Linked DNA regions of Arabidopsis thaliana. The protein of the gene in region 1 interacts with the protein of each later gene in a pairwise test. Each region holds a gene or a part of one and is shown in the gene's direction. Other genes may lie near its edges. The genes, in order: RABH1c, POK and ATGRIP.

Region 1 (4,304 bases):
TTTGCATTTTTATTATATTGCAAGATTGCGACAGACAACAAGGCATTTTTCCTCAAATCGATTGATCCATTGTGTTCTTATAGGCTAAGCGGATCGAGCGCTTACTCAGAGACGTATGGGAACTCTTGTCTCGCAGACTCTCAGGACTTTGATGTTAAGGAAGTGGAGGTAGTTAAATTTCATCCCTCTCCTTGAAAAATAAAAGCTTTATATTTCAATATTTTGCAACACCTTTTAACTGAAACAAGCAAACAAACACACCATTGGTTGATTGATTGTTGCAGCTATGGGGATTTGTGTATGGCTCAAAGTATGATGAGATTCTAGCTCACAGCAAAACAATGGAGCCTGGTCTTTGCAGATGGTCATGATCATTATAAAGAAAACCCAAATGAATTCAACTGAGATTCGTCTTTTTGTTGTTGTTGTTGTTGTTGTTGTATAAATCTGTAGTAAAAGAAATCTTGTTGTCTTGTAACTTGGCTAAAATCACATATATGTTACTCTCTCTCACTTGTAATGATGATTTTGAAATAACAAAATAAAACCACCTATTAGGCTCATTCGGCCCATTAAGGCCCATTAAAGCATATGTGTGTGTGAAGAGGGATTAATTTTAGTGGGGAAGAATCAAAGAAGAAAAACCCTTGCTACTGCTTTTCATTTCTGACCTAAAAGCTCAGCTCCGATTTGAAAATGGGGAGTAGATTGGGAGGACGAGTGGTTCATTTCGCGAATCTTCCGATTAAGCTTCTGATGCCTGCGAAGCTGACCAACATTCACGAATTCGCGTTGAAAACGATTCCTTCCGCGTCCAAGATCGAGATCAAGCGAGTCCTGGAGTCGCTCTACGGATTCGATGTGGAGAAGGTGAATACTTTAAACATGGATGGGAAGAAGAAGAAGCGTGGTGGTTTGTTGATAGCGAAAGCTGATTACAAGAAGGCTTACGTCACGCTACGTAGTCCATTGTCGATTTCTAGGGATTTGTTTCCGGTGAAGTATATCGAGGAAGATAGGAAGAGTAAAGTGAAAGGATCTAGCTTTGTTGAGGAAGAAGATGATAAGAAGAGTCATTGGCTTGATCGTAAGGAGAAGAGGGAGATTGGTGGTTATGGTAAAGGTAAAGGTCGTCGAGGTGGTGAAAGGGCTAACTCTCCGACGAGAGGTGGTGCTGCGGCGGCGGGGACGGCCAAGTTTCCATGGAGCAACATGAGATTTGTTGGTAAGTAGGGTTTATGAGCAGATTATGATCTGGGGTTTGTGTTTCTTTAGCTATCGGATTATTGATTTTGTTGTTTCTATTACTTGAGGTTTGTGTATTGAGAATCTGAATCATTGAAGCTCTCAGTGTTTCTGAGATTTGGCTAATAAATCTGAATCAAGATGTTTCCAATTGTTTGTAATCTTTCTCTTAGTGATCTCTGATTAGCTATATGATATTTGCTGCTCCCGAGTTCTAAAGCTTTTTTTCTTAATTGCAATCTATAAGAATGCTTAAGGGGATTAACTCTGGTGATGGTGCTTTGTTTGTCTGTTCAAGTTTTGAGAAACCTCTTATTAGTCTTATTGTTTGTGGATTTGGGGCTTATGTTCAAATGTTCGATCACATTACGCAGATGCAAAACGTATGATAAAATTGTGACAAATCACTACATTAGCCAATAAATATAGTCATCTCTGATCATCCCAAAAATCTCATCACTTTGTGGACTAGTAGCTTGGTGTTTACTAAATAATTGTTAAAATAATTGTTAGTTCAGATTTTGGTATTCATTACAGATTACAACTAGGCTACTACTCACCTAGTATCTTCACAAACTAACAAAAATTTGTTTGGCTTAAAGGTCTTTTTTTGGTTTAGGTTTTAATTAATCAAATAACGATTTAAAAGATTAATGAAGAAGACTTTGATCATAGAAATTTTAGAAAACATTCATCATTAAAAAATATTATTTTTTTTAAACACAGATACACCCAACCGCATCGACGCGCTTCTTATATAAAGTCTCCGCGGAAATCGTTGAATATATTTGGGCGCGTGGCGATTTTGTGAAGGTTGTCAAGTTTGTGTGCGACCGAGTCATCGTCGTCGTGCTCTCCTTCTTCTTCATCGTCGAGACCTAAGAAAGACGAGACTCTGATTCTTCTGATCTTTGAATCACACTTTTTCTTTTTTTCCTTCTTCTTCCAACGGAACGGAACATATGGCTTCGGTTTCACCTTTGGCAAAGTTTAAACTGGTGTTCTTAGGAGACCAATCTGTCGGAAAAACCAGCATCATCACTCGTTTCATGTATGACAAATTCGACACCACGTACCAGGTATTTACACAGATTCCTTTCACTTGTTTTGTTTATTCATTTAAATTCTTCTCTGCGACAACAAGTTTCTTTTGTTTTCGTTTTTTTATTGTTTGATCTGATTCATTATTTCCTATATTACGATTGTTCAGACGATTTCATCTCATATTGGTCCTAGATTACGTCGCTGATATCACTCTGGTTTTTCTTCAATGCATTTGTTTGATCACTCTGCTCTCTGTTTTTTTGGTTGATTTATCAATCTCTTCTTCTTATTATGATCAAGATCGATGATGCTAAGCACTGTTGCTTCTTTGCTTTCTTAGTTAGTCATTAAGCCTTTATTTGTGTTCTCTCTGACTCTCTGCAGCCTACCATTGGAATCGATTTTCTATCGAAAACAATGTACCTCGAAGATCGAACAGTTCGTTTGCAGCTATGGTGAGAACAATGTTACTTTTGCTCTTTACCTAAAAACTAACATGTTAATTTCAAAAGCAATAACAAAACAAGTTTTGATTGAAAGGGATACTGCTGGACAAGAAAGATTCAGGAGTCTAATCCCAAGTTACATCAGAGATTCTTCTGTTGCCATTGTTGTATACGATGTATCCAGTAAGTCCACCTTTGTTTCTCTCTTTGATTCACCTTCTTTTTTGTGTTCTTATGTGTTCAATCAATACTTTGTGTTGCAGATAGGCAAACGTTTCTGAATACCTCGAAATGGATTGAGGATGTTCACAGAGAAAGAGGTCAAAGCAATGTTATCATCGTTCTTGTTGGAAACAAAACTGATCTTGTTGAAAAACGGTAAATACAAACATTAAGCAAAGAATTGGATGGGATGGACTATATAATTCTCTCTTGTCTTATATATGTCAATCTTGATATAATGAAAAACAGGCAAGTATCAATCAGTGAAGGAGAAGACAAGGGTAAAGAGTATGGAGTGATGTTCATTGAGACCAGTGCCAAAGAAAACTTCAACATTAAGGTATGACAAAACTTCAACAAAGAGTATGGAGTGATGTTCATTTGAGTGTTTCTTGTTGTCTGATTTCTAAACACACCAAATCTCTTCAATTTGCAGGCTTTGTTCCGGAAGATTGCTGCAGCTTTACCCGGGGTAGACTCATATTCATTGGCAACAAAATCAGATGACATGGTTGATGTGAATCTAAAGACCACTTCAAATTCATCACAAGGTGAGCAACAAGGAGGAGCAGGTGGTGGTGGAGGCTGTTCTTGTTGATTCAAAAATACATAATTCCAAAACTTGTGAAGCAAACAAAAGGGATCACGTTAGTTTTGTGGTTTTCATCTTATTAACTGACACAGAATATAAAACATCAAAGAGAAAAGGATTACTATTTTTACACATGTGAATCTTTTGCCTTGTTCTGTATTTGATCTGTTTTAGACATTGACGGTAGCAGAATACAAAACCTTATTCTGATCACCACCAAATGAACCAAAGGGAGAAGGATCAACTGTGGTGACAGCTTCCTTCCACTCAATTGTACCCCAAATCTCACCTTTCGAACGAAATCTCGGCACACCAAACATCCAATCTCTCATCATCATCATTACGCTCAAGCCAGAAGAGAACAATGTTCACACCAAAACTGTTCACTTGACTGATATTCTTAGAGCCTCCAAACCTTTAACTATCTTCCATTCTGATTCCTCAGACTCTTGCCAAAACACTCACCGGAAGCTCATATCGGTACCGTATAACAACAATTCCTCAACTACACAATAACTCAAAAGATGTGGCCTATTCGTTCTTCCCCATTTACCATCACTGGGAGAGTAATAAACACTTCCTTCAAACCATTTCACTCCGTAAACCTTGTCTTCCTTAACAAGGCTTCCATTGGCGTTTGTTTTGGCCACTACGATTATCGGCGGGAAGGTTTTGTTGTTTCTTCTCTTCTTGGAAAACGAAAAACGTTATCCTTTATTTGTTCTTCTCTTGTTTTACTTTTTTATTGAGCCTTC
Region 2 (7,666 bases), on another chromosome or scaffold:
GATCCAGATTCATGTGCTAAAACTGACAGAGAAGCAATGCCCTTGGTTTTTCTAGTCAATGTTTTTGGTTCTCGAACTGATATAATAGTAACAGAATATAGAGAACGCAGAATAAAAATCTTATCTTACACTAAAAGCTGTCTTCATCACTGCAAATTCAGCTTTTGTGACAGGAACCACAAAATAGTCATTGGTTTTGAGGATGCTATTGTTAACGCCTGCAACAAAACCGCAGAAGGTAAGTGTTTATACAGCATTAAGAATTCAGCATTCCTATTGTTATAAGACAGCTATTCTGTGCGAAAACTGTTATCGCCATATTACAAAACTAATACAAGTGCAAGCTTCTAAATTTACTAAACAGAAAGCTCCCATAACTAAGTATTTCAGTACTGATTATCCATGTTAATTTGATAGAAGCCTTACTCAATGAGATGAAGTAGCCGCTACCATCTGCGTGGGGCTTAACTGACAGTGACTTCCTGACTTGACCAGCATTACTGAGGAGTCAAAGACAAGTCTATGTCAGAACATGAAAATGCTGCGATAAAAATATAATGTATTGAAGCAAAAAAAGACAAACCTTGATTTCATGGAAGGGTCATGGAAAAACTCGGAGCTGTCTTTGGAACCCATGCTAATTAAGGATCCAACTTCAGTAGGTGACAAAGCAAATTTCTGCAATAATGTAGGAAACAAACCAAATTTATCAGAGGAGAAAGAAGAGACAAGTGAAGAAGATAGAGAGTGTGAAAAAGATCAATACCTGTTTCTTTTCCCAGTCGTACTTACGCTCACCAATAGCAGGCATAAAAGTCATCATTAAGGATCCACGACGATCTATCCGAAGATTTCCCGACTAAACAATTGTACTCACAGTAAGTAATGAGAATCTAAAAGAAGCCTTTAAAGAGAACACACAAAACTAAAAAGAAATGGATTTTGGGCTTACATCGATTTCAGTGAAACTGGGAAGAACAGGTTCAACAGAGAGAGCAGCTTTTCCTTTGAAGATAGAATAAGGTGCGAACAATCGACCACTAGGCTTTGCGGCATCTTCTCAAATCAAGCAAACAAAATTAGGGCAAGTACACTTAAACTGACGAAACGGAAACAAACCAAGTTCTTACCTTTACCAGGGAATCCACGTCCAGGGGTTGAAGAATTTGACCAGCTTGCAAAACCACGCAACGTCGAAGCTTCGAAAAGTGACTTACTTTGGTCACAAAGGCTCCTGCTTTAACAAAAACAAACCAACCCAGAGAAGCCATTTTAAGAGTAATGAAATCTAAAATCTGAATTTTGAGAGGAACTGAAGTAACCTGGAGAGCAAAGAGCGGGCTTGCTTCATCATCTTCTTCTGTCTCGAGTAAAAAGCATCACTTGAGGTCTTCCGACTTCTGAGGTTTTATGATTTATCAAAACGGGTTTTATCGGGCGACCCATATTTTAACCCGTTTGTTTTATATATAAGTCTTTTAACGGCCCAATGGGCCTTTATTGTTGATTGGGAAATTAAAAATCAGATTAGAGAAGACGAACGAATCTGAGAAAGGTGAAGCTGAAGAAGAAGAAGAAGAAGAAGAAGAAGAAGAAGAAGAAGAAGAAGACTCTCTAATGGCGGACTCAAACTGATTTCGAGGATTCTGATTTCGTTTTCTAGTTGAAGATCTTTCAACTCTTAATCTCATTAGGAAGATGTCCGACATTTCCATTGACGCATTGGTACTTCATTTTTTTTGCATTCGTGATCTTCTAGCCTTAATCATGGATCCTTTATGATCTCTTGTCTAATTCGCTTTGCTCTTCTATCTGAAATTCATAGGGCCAAACTATGGGGGACTTTAGTAATCATGAGAAACTTGGATTTGATTTAGGAGCATTTGTTGGAGACTTGGCTTTTGAAGAAGATTCAGGCAGGTAACGTTCTCATGTTTTGTATCTTAATTCGACTATAACATATGTTTCTGCTTCTCTTTGTTCTTCTGATTAGAATGCTCTCCTTTGATTTGTTTGGCAGTGAGGATATTTCATTGGAAGGGCTTCAACAAGAACTTGAAGAATGTGAAAGTGATGAGGTAAGTTATTCACTTAACTGAGATCAAACTTATAAAGCTAGCACCTCGGTTCTTCTTTTTCGAAGTATTGTTTCTACTCTCATTTGAGTTACTTTGGAGTACATGGATTGATCATAGAATGTTAGATCCATGGATATGATGTCCTTTCTATCTTGTTTGTGTGAAATGTCAGGTTGTTGCCAATATACTGTCTAGTGGTGACAAACTTAGAGAATATGCAAAAGGGGTTGAAAACAATCTACGCAAGGTTGAATTGGATTCAATCGAGGTTGTTATTCTCTACCTGTGCTACATTGTGGCACTTGTTGTTTTCTACTTTTTATGTACTTCCGTCTATAAGTTCGGGAATTTCTTTGATATCGTAAGTAACTAACTTAAATGCTTTACATTCCATGAATACTCAGGATTACATAAAGGAAAGTGACAACCTAGTCTCACTTCACGATCAGATTCGTGACTGTGACAGCATCCTGTCACAAATGGAAACTCTTCTCAGTGGATTTCAGGTATTTGAAAATTAGACATTTATATAATTTGTGTGTATGTATGTGCTTCTTTCTCCTTATTCTGACTTTTGCTTAATGGGAGGAATTTTTTTACTTTGAAATACATATATTTTTTCCTGGTAATCTAAATGTGCACTTTGCTTCTTTTCTTTCAGGAAGAGATTGGTTCTATAAGTTCAGACATAAAGATTCTTCAAGAAAAGTCAATGGACATGGGTTTGAGATTGAAAAACCGCAGGGTATAGCTAATCAGAAACCACTATTGGTATTATCTCTTGCTGCTTTCACTCGTGACTCATCCAAATGAACTCTTCTATTTGAATAGGTGGCTGAATCAAAGCTAGCAAAATTTGTCGAAGACATTATAGTGCCACCAAAGATGATAGATGTAATTGTTGACGGAGAGGTATTTTTCAAATTCACTTTTTATGTAGCTTTGGTAGGGTTGGAGATTTGTAGGAATTTTGTAGGATCTCGTCATGTTGTATACATGTCTAATTTTTCTTTTTGTTTCTGGTGCTATAAGAATTACTGATTTGGTGCATATGTTGTAATCTGAAACATGGAGGAAAAATAGAAAAACAACATTTTCTGGTTAAGCTTGGTATATGCTTCCCCTATGTGCAATACTAAAATTTATTAAATTTTCTTCATTTTGTTTTCTTACACCATTTAGTCCTATCTTTATGTCCCCTGAGTACGTGTTTTTTTTGTAAAACCATAGTGGTGCATTTAAGCCTAGGTTGGATTGCTGAGGGTATTTTTATTGCTAATCTGATAGTCGTATTATTTTCCTTATTCAGGTGAATGAAGAGTATATGAAAACGCTTGAAATTCTGAGTAAGAAGCTAAAATTTGTAGAAGCAGATCAGGCAGTTAAAAGTTCCAAAGCGTTAAAAGATGTAGAGCCTGAGCTCGAAAAGCTTCGGCAGAAAGCTATTTCCAAGGTTATTGATCTACTTTCTCTGTTACTTGATACCAAAAACTTATATATTTCGCTGAAGGGAGTGTGATAGGTCCAAACATAACTGTACCTATTGACTCTCAAAACACACTGATACATGCATATTTCTTAAAGTTGTTAATTGTTTGATAAAAAACTACAGAAAAGTTAAGTTCCTGATATAACTCAACTTATTCTACCTCAATGAGATGAATCATTGTTCCTTCCCTCTGAAAGAATTTATGGCCAGGAAAAAGTTGCCATCTGCGATAAATTCAACTTTTAGTTCTGTATTAAGTCATTTGTGTTTGTTCTCGTCCAATGCTGAAAGGGCATGCACGACTGCACGTCGATGGAGCATTCTAAATTTGTTCTCATGCAATAGATTTAAATTCGTTTTGCAGGTGTATGATTTTATTGTCCAGAAGCTTATAGCCCTGAGGAAACCCAAAACAAACATTCAGATTCTTCAACAGAGTGTGTTATTAAAGTACAAGTGAGTTATGCTCTCCAAGCCCCTTTAATTGGTTTTGACGTAGTGAAACTACAAATTGTACAACGTCTCCTGTCTTGCATGTATGTTTCTGTTAACTTTTTCTGCATGTGTATGTGGTCATCACCTTACAAACGTTTTGGTTAGTTATCTTGGTTTGGATTTTCCCTTTGTGATGTTGACGGAGTTGTTTTATTTTACATGTTACTGATATCCAACTTGATATTATATTGCTTCTACAAGACTTATGTGGATACATACTTCATTCACCAATTACAATTTAATGATAGGTATATTATCTCCTTCCTCAAGGAACATGGAAAAGAAGTGTTTATGGATGTTCGTGCTGCATACATTGATACCATGAACAAGGTGATATTCTTTATCTTGTTTGATTTCTTACACTATGCTGCAACTCCTTTATATAGTCTTAGTTGAATGAGGAAGAATACACAGATAGATTTGACTAAGGTTATTCTCCGCATATGCAAGGTAGTGGATACAACATCCAATTGTACGTTACATGCAAGTAATTCTTCTATTCTTGTTTTCTAACTATAATTGGACAAAGCTAGTTGGTTAGATAAAAATGCTGTTTGCTAGCTTAGGCTTTTAAATGTTATTACACCTTATGTATTGTATGATCTTGTTTCAGGTGTTAAGTGCACATTTTCGTGCTTATATTCAAGCACTTGAGAAACTACAGTTAGATATAGCCACAGCATATGACTTAATTGGGGTAGAGACCAGAACCACCGGCCTCTTCTCAAGAGCTAGGGAGCCACTAAAGAACCGCTCTGCCGTTTTTGCTTTGGGTGACAGGATAAAAATTATAAAGGTATGCATCATTCAGCAGTTATCATTTTTTGATTGATTTTTTCGACCATTCTACATGCTCTGGCGAATTTGTTATATAAAATGAGTTGCTCTTCTGACTCTTTAATACAAAAGATGGTACTAGGTCTGCGTCTTTACAAATAAAGTATAAGTTATATTAATGTATTGTACACCATAAGTTTTATTGAGGAGTGCCCACTTTGGTTTTGGTTCAGATATTTTAGTCTTAGGTTATAAATTATAGGAATCAAATATTTTGGTTCATTTCAGTTTTGGTTTTTACGATATGTATCCTTAATTTTAAAGGCTCCTCAAATAGATGGAAGTTTCGATTTGTTTTTCTCATTTTCAATTTGGATTAGTGTGGTATCAATTTGTTTTTTTTTGCTATAGAAGAAGTAAATCCAAAGTTTGTTTGGTTTAACAATATTCGTTAAAAGACTTAAGTTTCAGTATGACCGCTGTAGGATATTGATCAACCTGCTTTGATCCCGCACATAGCCGAAGCCAGCTCTCTCAAATATCCTTATGAAGTGCTCTTCAGGAGCCTGCACAAGCTACTTATGGATACAGCTACTTCTGAGTTCTGTTGATTTTTCCCCTTTTATATTTGTGTTATTGTCGCTCATCGCTCAACCCCCTGGTTAACGTCATTTGTTTTCATTTTAACAGGTATATGTTTTGTGATGATTTCTTTGGTGAAGAGTCCATATTCTATGAAATTTTTGCGGGTAATTTCTAATCTGTCTCCCTTCCTTTTGCTGTACCAAACTTTGTGGATTTTGTTAGCTGTGTAGAAGAACATCTGTTTTTCCTGTAATACTGGTATACCAAATTTGATATGGTGTTGAGCAGCGTGTAAGAAATTATCTTCTCTTCTTCCGGATAGAAAGCTGAACCTCTTGTACTTTACAATGGATATGATAATTGTAGCAGTTTTTTGGATAAATTCTAAAATTTAAATGATACAGGTCCATTTTCTGTCATCGATGAGCACTTCAATCCCGTTCTTTCAAACTGTTTTGATGCTATTGGCCTGATGCTTATGATTCGCATAATACACCACCACCAGGTATTAACGATGACCTAACTACTAGTTTATCTGCGTTTTGGTGAATATCTTGGAATTAGGTAATTTATTTAGCTTCTTCCCTTTTGAACTTTTCTAGTCTCCCACATATGTGAGAATGCATTGAAGTATGGTTAGATATTTATCAACTTGGCATTGGAAAGAGTTCTCTTAATATCTTGCAAACTAACGATGTAGATATACCTTCAACTGGTCCACATAGGCGTATTACAACCAGTCTATATTTTTTCTCAACAGTATGATAATCTAGTGTAGCTTATATTACTTATTTTCATGATCCAGCCTTTTGCAAGGGTCATGATGGTATTATATGTCCACTAATAGTTAAGCAATACTTTCCCACCTTTTTTACAGCTTATCATGTCTCGCCGGAGAATTCCATGCCTGGACTCATATCTGGACAAGGTTCATACCTCTCTATCTCTTTTATTATGTTTGATCAACATTTAAATATGTATGGTGCAATAAAAAGAGTTCATTATTATTGTGCTCATCTTCAGCTGTTTTCACTTGGTCGCTAAATGTTTTCTTTTTGGTATAACTTTGAAGGTCTTGTATAGATCTTAGATATAAGCTTATAGATGCGGCTATGGTTTGATTTCCTTAGGTTTCATAGTCCTCTCTCAATGAATCTTTTATTTTGGAAATTGAGCAGGTTAATATTTCTTTGTGGCCTCGTTTCAAGATGGTGTTTGACTCACACCTTAGCAGTCTGAGAGATGCAAACATTAAGACATTATGGGAAGATGATGTTCATCCTCACTATGTCATGAGGCGTTATGCTGAATTCACGGCTTCGTTTATTCACCTAAACGTTGAATATGGAGATGGGCAGGTTCGTTATAAGATTGCTTCTGTCTCTAGTGATATGTATTACCTGTTCTCATCACTCAAATCGCTTGACACTATATATGAACCGCTGCAGCTTGATATAAATCTGGAGCGGTTAAGAATGGCTGTAGATGGGTTGATTCTCAAGCTTGCAAAGTTGTTCCCAAGGCCAAAGCAGCAAATTGTGTTTCTCATAAATAACTACGATATGACAATCGCTGTACTGAAGGTGAGTTGAATCCTTGGCCGTCTCATGTTAAGTGCACCCATGTGGACCAGTGTTTTCTTGGTTTGAAATGGCTTTCTACGAATCTCAAGGCTTAACTAATTGAGTCTGACCTACCAAAAGAATCTGTTTTGATCATCTTCCTGTATTTTAGGAAGCTGGACCAGAAGGTGGGAAAATTCAAATGCATTTTGAGGAAATGCTAAAGAGTAACACTTCATTATTTGTGGTAAGGGGCAAATACTAGGTTACCTTTGTAATTTGCTTCATGGGTATAACATAAAACTGTCTTTGTAGTAGCCTAACCTTAAATCTGATGTTAACTCGTAGGAAGAACTGCTGGTGGAGCATTTCAGTGATTTGATCAAATTCGTGAAAAATCGAGCTTGTAAGCAACTTGTTTCTTTCTTTTCTTCACGTACTCATCGAGTGTTAAGTTGAAAAACCACTAAACTGTAAGATATGTGGCAGCTGAGGATTCGAGCTTAAATCCAGAGAGGTCCATTACAATTGCTGAAGTAGAGCCACTGGTGAAGGACTTTGGAAGCAGATGGAAGACAGCGATTGAGTTGATGGACAAAGACATCATAACTTCCTTCAGTAACTTCTTGTGTGGTATGGATATTTTGAGAGCTGCATTGACACAACTATTGCTCTATTAC
Region 3 (7,682 bases), on another chromosome or scaffold:
CAGACAAAACGAAAGAGGGACGGTTACATACAGTGGGAAAGAAGAGATGTGGATTGTTGTGCCTTCATAAATGTCTACTTGTGGAAGACTAAGCAGTAAGTTAAAAGAAACGTGAATGATTTCCCCTGAAACGATGGTTACACAACACTCCCTTATTCACTTGGTTTTCGGGTTAAAGTTAGAAAAATAAAAGAGGTGGCCCAGCTTTGGTGCATTGAGAGTAGCAGAGTTATTAAATGCTTCGCAGAATTGCAGTTGCACATTCACTCCCTTCTTCTTCTTAATCTCCTTACAGTTACAGACATTCTCTCACTTGCGTTCTTGTTTCTTTTACAAAACAGATACACTATGTTTCCGAGAGAGTCCCTCTGATATTGGCCTGGTTCACTCAGATTCTCTTTTACTAACTCATCTGATTGAGCCGTGTCAATATCTCAGTCCTCTCTCGTCGCTTCTCTCGTATTTTGAAGTTTGCCTCGTTAGGTCACACCACTTGTTTTGTACACACGATCGAGTTGTTGATATGGTGTTGTTGTCTTTGTGTACTCATCGATCACTCAATATATACACATATATTGTCTGTTGCCAAGAACAGATGGACCTTTAAGGTAACAATCTTGTAGATATAATCGTTGATCGGATGCTCCTTTCTCCTTTCTAATTGATTTTTTTTTTAAACTATATATATAGAGATTTCGATGCAATCAACACACACTCGTATTTTTATATATTTTAAAAAGATGCGATGAGCCCCTCCCTCCAAGCTATCACATCAGACAGCAAAGAGAAAGGAGGGTCATTTATTGATGATTACATGCGGAAAGGATGCATTATTGAAGAAGAAGGAGACGAAGAGATAAGGAAAGATGTTTGGTGAATGGTGAGTCATCAAGCCTTTGTAGGAAGGCCATTCTTGGCCCAGGCACTATAGCCACCGACGATATCTTTGACTCCCGTGAAACCCTGCAAATTCGCAAATTATATATCACCAACAAAGTAAAAGTCAGAAAGAAGAGCTTTGTGGTGGAGCTTACTGCATGGAGAAGATCGGTGGTGGCTTTGATAGATCTACCACCGCTCTGGCAGCCAACAATGATGTTATCGGATTGTCCGAAATGGGAGGAGACTTGTTCCAGGAAGTCGGGGTTCTTTGACATCCCTGTTTCACAATCACAAAATTATATCCATCACTCAGTTATCAACTAACCAAATAAAAACATACCTGATGCTCCTCGATTCATGTAAGGCACGTTGATCGCCCCACAGGCATGTCCCTGGCTGAACTCTTCTGGAGTCCTATATTCATCATCCCCATTACATCAAGATCCTAATGATGCTATGTTGATGATTGAAATAGTCAAAAGAGAAAGGTGGGGCGGTACCTGACGTCTAGATAGCGGTGGCCGGCTAGAAGAAGGTCGTGGGCGACTGTTACCGACACCGATGATGGGACTCTGCTCTCCTCCGCCATTTTTTTCAATGGCTTATTATTATATTTGACTGGACAAAGACTTCAATAATTTCATTTTATATAAATTAGTTGGGAAAGTGATTATAATTGGGCCATATATTACAAATACATAATGGGCCTAAGTTGCTGCTTTATGGGCTAAGCTGTTTTCGGACTGTCCTTCATATTTTCATATTACCATTCCAAAACGGCATCATTTTAGCTAACCTCGTCTTGGGTTTACTTGATGAATTTTCAAAAGGTTTAAGGCTTCTGAATGCAATTATTCATTAGTAAAACACCCTTTACACAATTCTTACCATTCTTCGTCAGTCGATCAGATCAACGTTTTACCGTCTCACTGATCGACGGGAAAGAGACGACGACGTTTTTAACCTTTGGGTTGAGATCCGATCCAATATTTCGAAATCGTGATTCCTTGTTTGTGACCTCTCTCTCTCTGCCTCCACACTCTTCTCTAATCCCTCACCTCAAGGTAAGCTTCTTCTCTGGCACTGATTACATTCAAATCTCTCTTCTCCTTGCGTTGCTTTTGCTGGTTTATTCGAATTTCACGACTTGACTCCTTTCTCTTTTGATTGTTGATTCAAATCCCGATTTTGCGCTTACTAGTTGTCGTCGCTCTCTTGAGTGTCTGGGTTCATCTTTCTGACATCTGCTCTGCCAAGATGTCCGAAGACAAGGAATCTGATGTGGTTGGAGAAGAAGAGGAGAGCCATGTGATCAAAGAAGATAAAGAGTTAAATGATGCCTCCAACGAGACTCTGACAGAAAATGGTGATCAGCTACTCCAAATGATTGCTGAACTGAGATTAGAAAATGACTTTCTCAGATCCCAATTTGAGGGACTCAAGGATGAGGTAGCGCAAGGTAGGTCTCTCCAGAAAGCTGAGCAAGTGGAAGCGGACTCTGCTCAGCTGAAACAACTTCAAGAACAGGTCGCATCATTGAGCAGAGAAATTGATGTGGAAAAACAAACTCGAGTTGCAGCTGAGCAAGCTCTTGAGCATCTAAGGGAAGCATACTCTGAGGCTGATGCTAAATCCCAAGAATACTCCTCTAAGTTTTCCCAAGGTCAGAAGCCATCTTTTCTATTTGCTCATTCATTGACCGGAACCAGTGTTTGCCTTTTCTCAACTTGTGCTATTACATTGTTGGTGTAGTTGAACAGAAACTGGACCAGGAAATCAAAGAGCGCGACGAGAAATATGCCGACCTGGACGCCAAATTCACCAGGCTTCACAAAAGGGCTAAACAACGCATTCAAGAAATCCAAAAGGTGAATGTCTTTCTCTACATTTTATAATGCTTTCTGTTTTAGCCACTTTGAGGCTACTGTGAGTTTCAAAAACCATCTTATACTATTTCGGAATTTCTATGCTGCATTTTCAGACATATAGATTTCGCTGCTATGTGCTGTCTTAATCTCAGTGGTATATTATATTGCTATCTTCAGGAAAAAGATGATCTCGACGCCCGTTTCCGGGAAGTGAATGAAACAGCTGAACGAGCATCTTCTCAACACTCATCCATGCAACAAGAGCTGGAACGCACTAGGCAACAGGCGAATGAAGCACTTAAAGCAATGGATGCGGAGAGGCAACAACTAAGGAGTGCCAATAACAAGTAAATAATTCGAAGATAATTTTTACAGAAATTGTATAAAATGAATGTCGCCTTTCCCACTTCTCCAGCTACCTCTAAGAATTTGAGTACTGGAGTTTTCTCTTTACACAGGCTCAGGGATACTATCGAGGAACTACGTGGCTCATTGCAGCCTAAAGAAAATAAGATTGAGACATTGCAACAGTCACTTCTTGATAAGGACCAGGTTTGATCTCTTTCATTTTCTGTAATACTAGTCTGCAATATATAGAAAAATAGAGAGACAAAAGAGACAGAGAGAGAGAGAGAGAGGGGGGGGGGGGGGGGGGGGGGAGGGATGGCTCTGTATACTCTGCTTCATATGCGTACTTGCTTTAATCCTAGATTCTGGAGGACCTGAAAAAGCAATTACAAGCTGTGGAAGAGAGAAAGCAAATTGCAGTTACTGAGTTGTCAGCCAAGCATCAAAAGGTAGTCAGCATCAGCGATTGTGTTACTTCTTATATGCTATGAGCCACCATTTTCCGCTAATGACATCCAAGGTTTTCTCTTCTCTCCACCTTCTTGACAGAACTTAGAGGGTTTGGAAGCACAGGTCGTAGATGCTCTATCTGAGAGGGACAAAGCAGCCGAAACCATTTCGTCGCTGCAGGTTAGTCTTTTGACTAAATTCTTTAGTTCTATTACTGGATGATGTGCTTTGGTTTTCAAATGAGCGAGAGAGAATAGTTTGAAATAAGTGATAAATTCTTCACACCAAGTATACACCTCTTTTAGGTACTGCTTGCAGAGAAGGAATCTAAAATTGCAGAGATGGAGGCAGCTGCAACTGGCGAAGCAGCAAGGCTAAGGGCTGCTGCAGAAACTCTTAAAGGAGAGCTTGCACACCTTAAATCAGAGAATGTAAGTGGAATGTTTAAAGATGGATTCGCAGGACTCTCTGATGCCAACTGTCATTTGTCCTTCGTTATTGTTGCCCATTCGTATATTCTAAGACATTGTTTTGCATACTACTCGTCAAATGATTTCCATCATTTAGCAGATTTACTAGCATGGTTTTAACCAGGGAATGAATATAGGAGTGCGTATAGATAATTGTAAACATGATCTAAGGCGTCAGTCTGTCATCAGACAGCATGTTTAGAGTTTCTATTTGTTTGGCCATATAAATTCCTCTATTTTCTTTTGTTGTAATTCATAGAAGCCATGATTTTTTTTTGTTCCTTTAGGAAAAGGAAAAGGAGACTTGGGAAGCTTCATGCGATGCCCTTAAATCTAAACTGGAAATCGCTGAAAGCAACTACTTACAGGCCGAAATCGAAGTGGCTAAAATGAGAAGTAATTGACGGAGTTCATAAACGTTGAACTAATCTAGTTATGTTTTACTTTTGTCTATGGACTATAGACATTTCATTCATATAAATTGTCAGGTCAGCTGGGATCTGAAATGTCCATGCAGACCCAGATACTAAGCACAAAAGATGCGGAACTCAAAGGTGCAAGAGAAGAGGTACATAGTTTTCTTTTGGTTCTTTTGGAAACTATTGTAGCCTTGGTTAGGTGAACGAATTTATTAGTCATCCATTCTTAATCACATAACGTGAATTATTATGGAATCAAAGAGCCATTTTGAGCTTTAAGGAATGTTCTGCTTTAGCTAGTCTTCATTTAACCATATTGAATTCCTTGTAACTGTTCACAGATCAACCGGCTCCAAAGTGAATTCTCTTCTTACAAGATCCGTGCTCACGCGCTTTTGCAAAAGAAGGACATGGAGCTGGCTGCAGCTAAAGACTCTGAACAAATTAAATCTCTTGAGGAAGCTCTAAAGGTAAGTTATCTAGAATCTTAAGATGGAGATATTTTTAGATGGTTGCCAAGGTGCTTACCAACTAATTATCTTTTTGGGTGGTGTTAGGAAGCTGAAAAAGAAGTATATTTGGTATCTGCAGAGAGGGATAGGGCACAGCAAGATCTTCAGAGTGCTTTGGCTAGCCTTGAGAAAGAACTTGAAGAGAGGTATATATTGACACTGAATCTTTTTCATGTTTGATTCCGGAGGTTGGCTGCTCATTCTCCTCAATTTGCCAGAGAAAACAACTGAGAAATGGTGTTCTCAGGGGACTGGTTATGGAGTTCTTCAGACATATATTGGTCGTCTGAGCTATTTTTGTTTCATATATATTTCAGAGCTGGAGCACTTAAAGATGCCAGCGAGCAGATCAAAAGTCTTGAAGTGAAGCTTGACTCCACTGTTGCTCGCAATCAGGCGGAGAAACAAGCTTGGGAAGAAGACCTTCGGGTTTTAGAAGAAACATGGCGACGTAATTGATTCAAATCTAAATTCGGTTTTTTCATTAGTTCTTGGAAATTGAAATTCCCTTCCTAAAAGGCTACAGTAATCTATAGGAAGATGTGAAGCTTTGACCGCTCAAAATGAAGCCTCACCTGCAGAAGGTATAGAAAAAGAACTAGAAAATGCCAAACTGCGGAATAAACGAATGAAGGTAAATCACTTTTTGTTATACTCATAAAAAAGTTTTTTTGTCTAACTGACATACCTGCAGGAGGAGCATGAATCAGTACGTGAGCTTGCAGATAGACTCATTGAGGAGAAGGATCGAGAGATATCGAGACTTGTGGATGAGATGACAAATCTTCGAAAATCTATGGAGTCAAAACCAGTAGTATGTGGATGGTTCTTTTTTTTTTTTTTTTTGCTTATTACCTTACTTCTCCTTTTTATCTTTGGTTTTACGCTAGTAACTTTTCATTTAATTTGCACTGAAACTTTTCACTCTTCATGTGGCATTAAGTGGAACAAATCTCCATCCCAGGTTCACCACTATGGGAACAACAACACAGGTACAAGATGTTTTCCTGATACCATATTTTTTTAATAAGGGCTCCCTATATGAATGAATCAGTGGGTTCCCTGTCATCAATAACCTATTATTTTCTTTAAACGGGGTTTCAGAGTCACAACAGCAGGATGTATCTAACTTGAGCACTTCTGCAGCAGAGCACCAGATTCTGGTAGGATTTTGTAATGTTAGCTGTCTGCTTGTGTGAGCAAGGAGCGATCTTTAATCCTAGAACTTAATTTCCTTCAAATGTAATGCTATGGCCTACGGGACAAATCAGTGAGAGCTAATCATGACACATAATAATCAAATTTCAGATATTGGCAAGGCAACAAGCTCAGAGAGAAGAAGAGTTAGCACAGACACAGCGCCATATTTTAGCTCTTCAGGTGTAGTAGAATTGGTTGCATTGATCTGTTTCTGCACATGTTGCAATTAGTAACTGTTTATTCTGAATCAGGAGGAAATCGAGGAGCTTGAACGAGAAAACCGTCTTCACAGTCAACAGGTATGTGATTACACGAGAGTTTGGTTGCTTTGCCAGTTTCTTAGGATCTTATTTCAAACTTCCGGTGGTATGCTAAATTACAGGAAGCAGTGCTAAAGACGGAGTTGAGGGAGATGGAAAGAAAACAGAAGAGAGAAGGCGTGGATATGACATACCTAAAGAATGTGATATTAAAACTGCTAGAAACAGGTTAAAAAACCTGGAGATTAAAGGTGGATTCACGAAGTAGATGTTTTAGGGGTAAATTAACTTGTGATAATTGCAGGTGAAGTGGAGGCTTTACTACCTGTAGTGGGGATGTTGCTGCAGTTCAGTCCAGAGGAGATCCAGAAGTGTCAGCAAGCCTACCATAGCTCAACAACAGCGGCAACAACAACAGAGGCGACTCCAAGTCCGGCAAGTGAGGGTTCAGGTCTATCAGTCTTCTCAAGATTCTCGTTTTCATAGTCGGGTGGGCACTGGACACATTCTTTTGGGCCAAGATACATACACATACATACGACATTGTGTTTAAGTCCTTCGTTTTTGTGTAATGAACACTAAAAGTCAAGAAAACACTTTTTGTCCAGATGTAAAGAAAGGATAAGCCACTGAATTGAGTTGTTGGGCCATTTTTAATGGAGTCTATTGTAATCATGCAGAAAACCGCTGATTATCGGAATTAATGAAACTAAAAAAGTCAACGCAAAATTAACTACAAAGATAGTATAATAATAACGGTCGTCGACTTGTTGTTATTGGTCAACCGTTATGTACGGAATCAATTTGAACGGGTCTCACTCTCACTGCCTTGAAGGCCATTTTAATTGAGCGGAATTCATTTCGCCTACTAGTTTCAAATCTCGTAACGAAGAAGGTGATTGGTTCTTCTTCCTCTTGCTGGAAGCCATGGTGAGTAGGCTCAAGATACACTCTGGCTTGCGTTTGTGGGAATTCCCTGATCAGTACGTCATCGAGCCAACCGATGGTTCCTCCGCTTCATGTTTGGATATTAGTCGTCTTGACGGCTCCATGAAGCTCATTGGTGTGTTTCCTGTTTTTGCCTCGTTATATTGGAATCTTTTTGTTCTCTTATGCATGTATGTGTAATGCATCCTCTTGCCTGTCTCAGATCAAGTAGCAGAATGCAACTCTTTGCGTGTCCCTAAAATCCGCTCCATTTTCGGTGTGGTTGGGATGCTGAAGCTCCTGGCAGGTGAAATTTCAGAGATCCTATCGAATAATTAATCTATTT

Evidence for each region.
Region 2: the proteins of RABH1c (region 1) and POK come close enough for resonance energy transfer, tested with the Arabidopsis thaliana proteins (one study listed by BioGRID).
Region 3: the proteins of RABH1c (region 1) and ATGRIP come close enough for resonance energy transfer, tested with the Arabidopsis thaliana proteins (one study listed by BioGRID).

The regions. Positions count from the first base shown.
Region 1 is NC_003075.7:18,503,905-18,508,208, forward strand, and holds RABH1c (RAB GTPase homolog H1C), read left to right. Parts: upstream 1-2,014; 5' UTR 2,015-2,207; coding exon 2,208-2,324; intron 2,325-2,673; coding exon 2,674-2,744; intron 2,745-2,829; coding exon 2,830-2,918; intron 2,919-2,998; coding exon 2,999-3,113; intron 3,114-3,206; coding exon 3,207-3,297; intron 3,298-3,393; coding exon 3,394-3,555; 3' UTR 3,556-3,799; downstream 3,800-4,304. Other genes in the region: AT4G39870 (TLD-domain containing nucleolar protein), read left to right, coding at 84-168, 285-371; AT4G39880 (Ribosomal protein L23/L15e family protein), read left to right, coding at 697-1,233. UniProt on the Arabidopsis thaliana protein: Protein transport. Regulator of membrane traffic from the Golgi apparatus towards the endoplasmic reticulum (ER).
Region 2 is NC_003070.9:26,862,038-26,869,703, forward strand, and holds the start of POK (Vps52 / Sac2 family), read left to right. Parts: upstream 1-1,549; 5' UTR 1,550-1,698; coding exon 1,699-1,725; intron 1,726-1,825; coding exon 1,826-1,920; intron 1,921-2,020; coding exon 2,021-2,078; intron 2,079-2,250; coding exon 2,251-2,346; intron 2,347-2,482; coding exon 2,483-2,584; intron 2,585-2,739; coding exon 2,740-2,823; intron 2,824-2,909; coding exon 2,910-2,990; intron 2,991-3,387; coding exon 3,388-3,531; intron 3,532-3,931; coding exon 3,932-4,023; intron 4,024-4,310; coding exon 4,311-4,392; intron 4,393-4,675; coding exon 4,676-4,858; intron 4,859-5,324; coding exon 5,325-5,440; intron 5,441-5,529; coding exon 5,530-5,588; intron 5,589-5,828; coding exon 5,829-5,929; intron 5,930-6,301; coding exon 6,302-6,352; intron 6,353-6,602; coding exon 6,603-6,782; intron 6,783-6,872; coding exon 6,873-7,007; intron 7,008-7,158; coding exon 7,159-7,233; intron 7,234-7,334; coding exon 7,335-7,392; intron 7,393-7,475; and 1 more. Other genes in the region: ATWHY2 (WHIRLY 2), read right to left, coding at 130-218, 427-500, 584-678, 767-859, 953-1,056, 1,131-1,234, 1,323-1,354. UniProt on the Arabidopsis thaliana protein: Acts as a component of the GARP complex that is involved in retrograde transport from early and late endosomes to the trans-Golgi network (TGN). The GARP complex facilitates tethering as well as SNARE complex assembly at the Golgi.
Region 3 is NC_003076.8:26,404,346-26,412,027, reverse strand, and holds ATGRIP (Golgi-localized GRIP domain-containing protein), read left to right. Parts: upstream 1-1,672; 5' UTR 1,673-1,946; intron 1,947-2,083; 5' UTR 2,084-2,139; coding exon 2,140-2,545; intron 2,546-2,634; coding exon 2,635-2,750; intron 2,751-2,927; coding exon 2,928-3,097; intron 3,098-3,208; coding exon 3,209-3,302; intron 3,303-3,460; coding exon 3,461-3,547; intron 3,548-3,647; coding exon 3,648-3,728; intron 3,729-3,853; coding exon 3,854-3,979; intron 3,980-4,305; coding exon 4,306-4,414; intron 4,415-4,506; coding exon 4,507-4,586; intron 4,587-4,778; coding exon 4,779-4,907; intron 4,908-4,994; coding exon 4,995-5,095; intron 5,096-5,266; coding exon 5,267-5,400; intron 5,401-5,485; coding exon 5,486-5,583; intron 5,584-5,643; coding exon 5,644-5,763; intron 5,764-5,892; coding exon 5,893-5,941; intron 5,942-6,053; coding exon 6,054-6,112; intron 6,113-6,257; coding exon 6,258-6,329; coding exon of another isoform or gene 6,330-6,335; exon of another isoform or gene 6,336-6,400; coding exon 6,401-6,448; and 7 more. Other genes in the region: STR16 (sulfurtransferase protein 16), read right to left, coding at 889-963, 1,035-1,159, 1,223-1,296, 1,383-1,471; ATSAC1B (Phosphoinositide phosphatase family protein), read left to right, coding at 7,337-7,472, 7,560-7,643. UniProt on the Arabidopsis thaliana protein: Golgi matrix protein playing a role in tethering of vesicles to Golgi membranes and in maintaining the overall structure of the Golgi apparatus.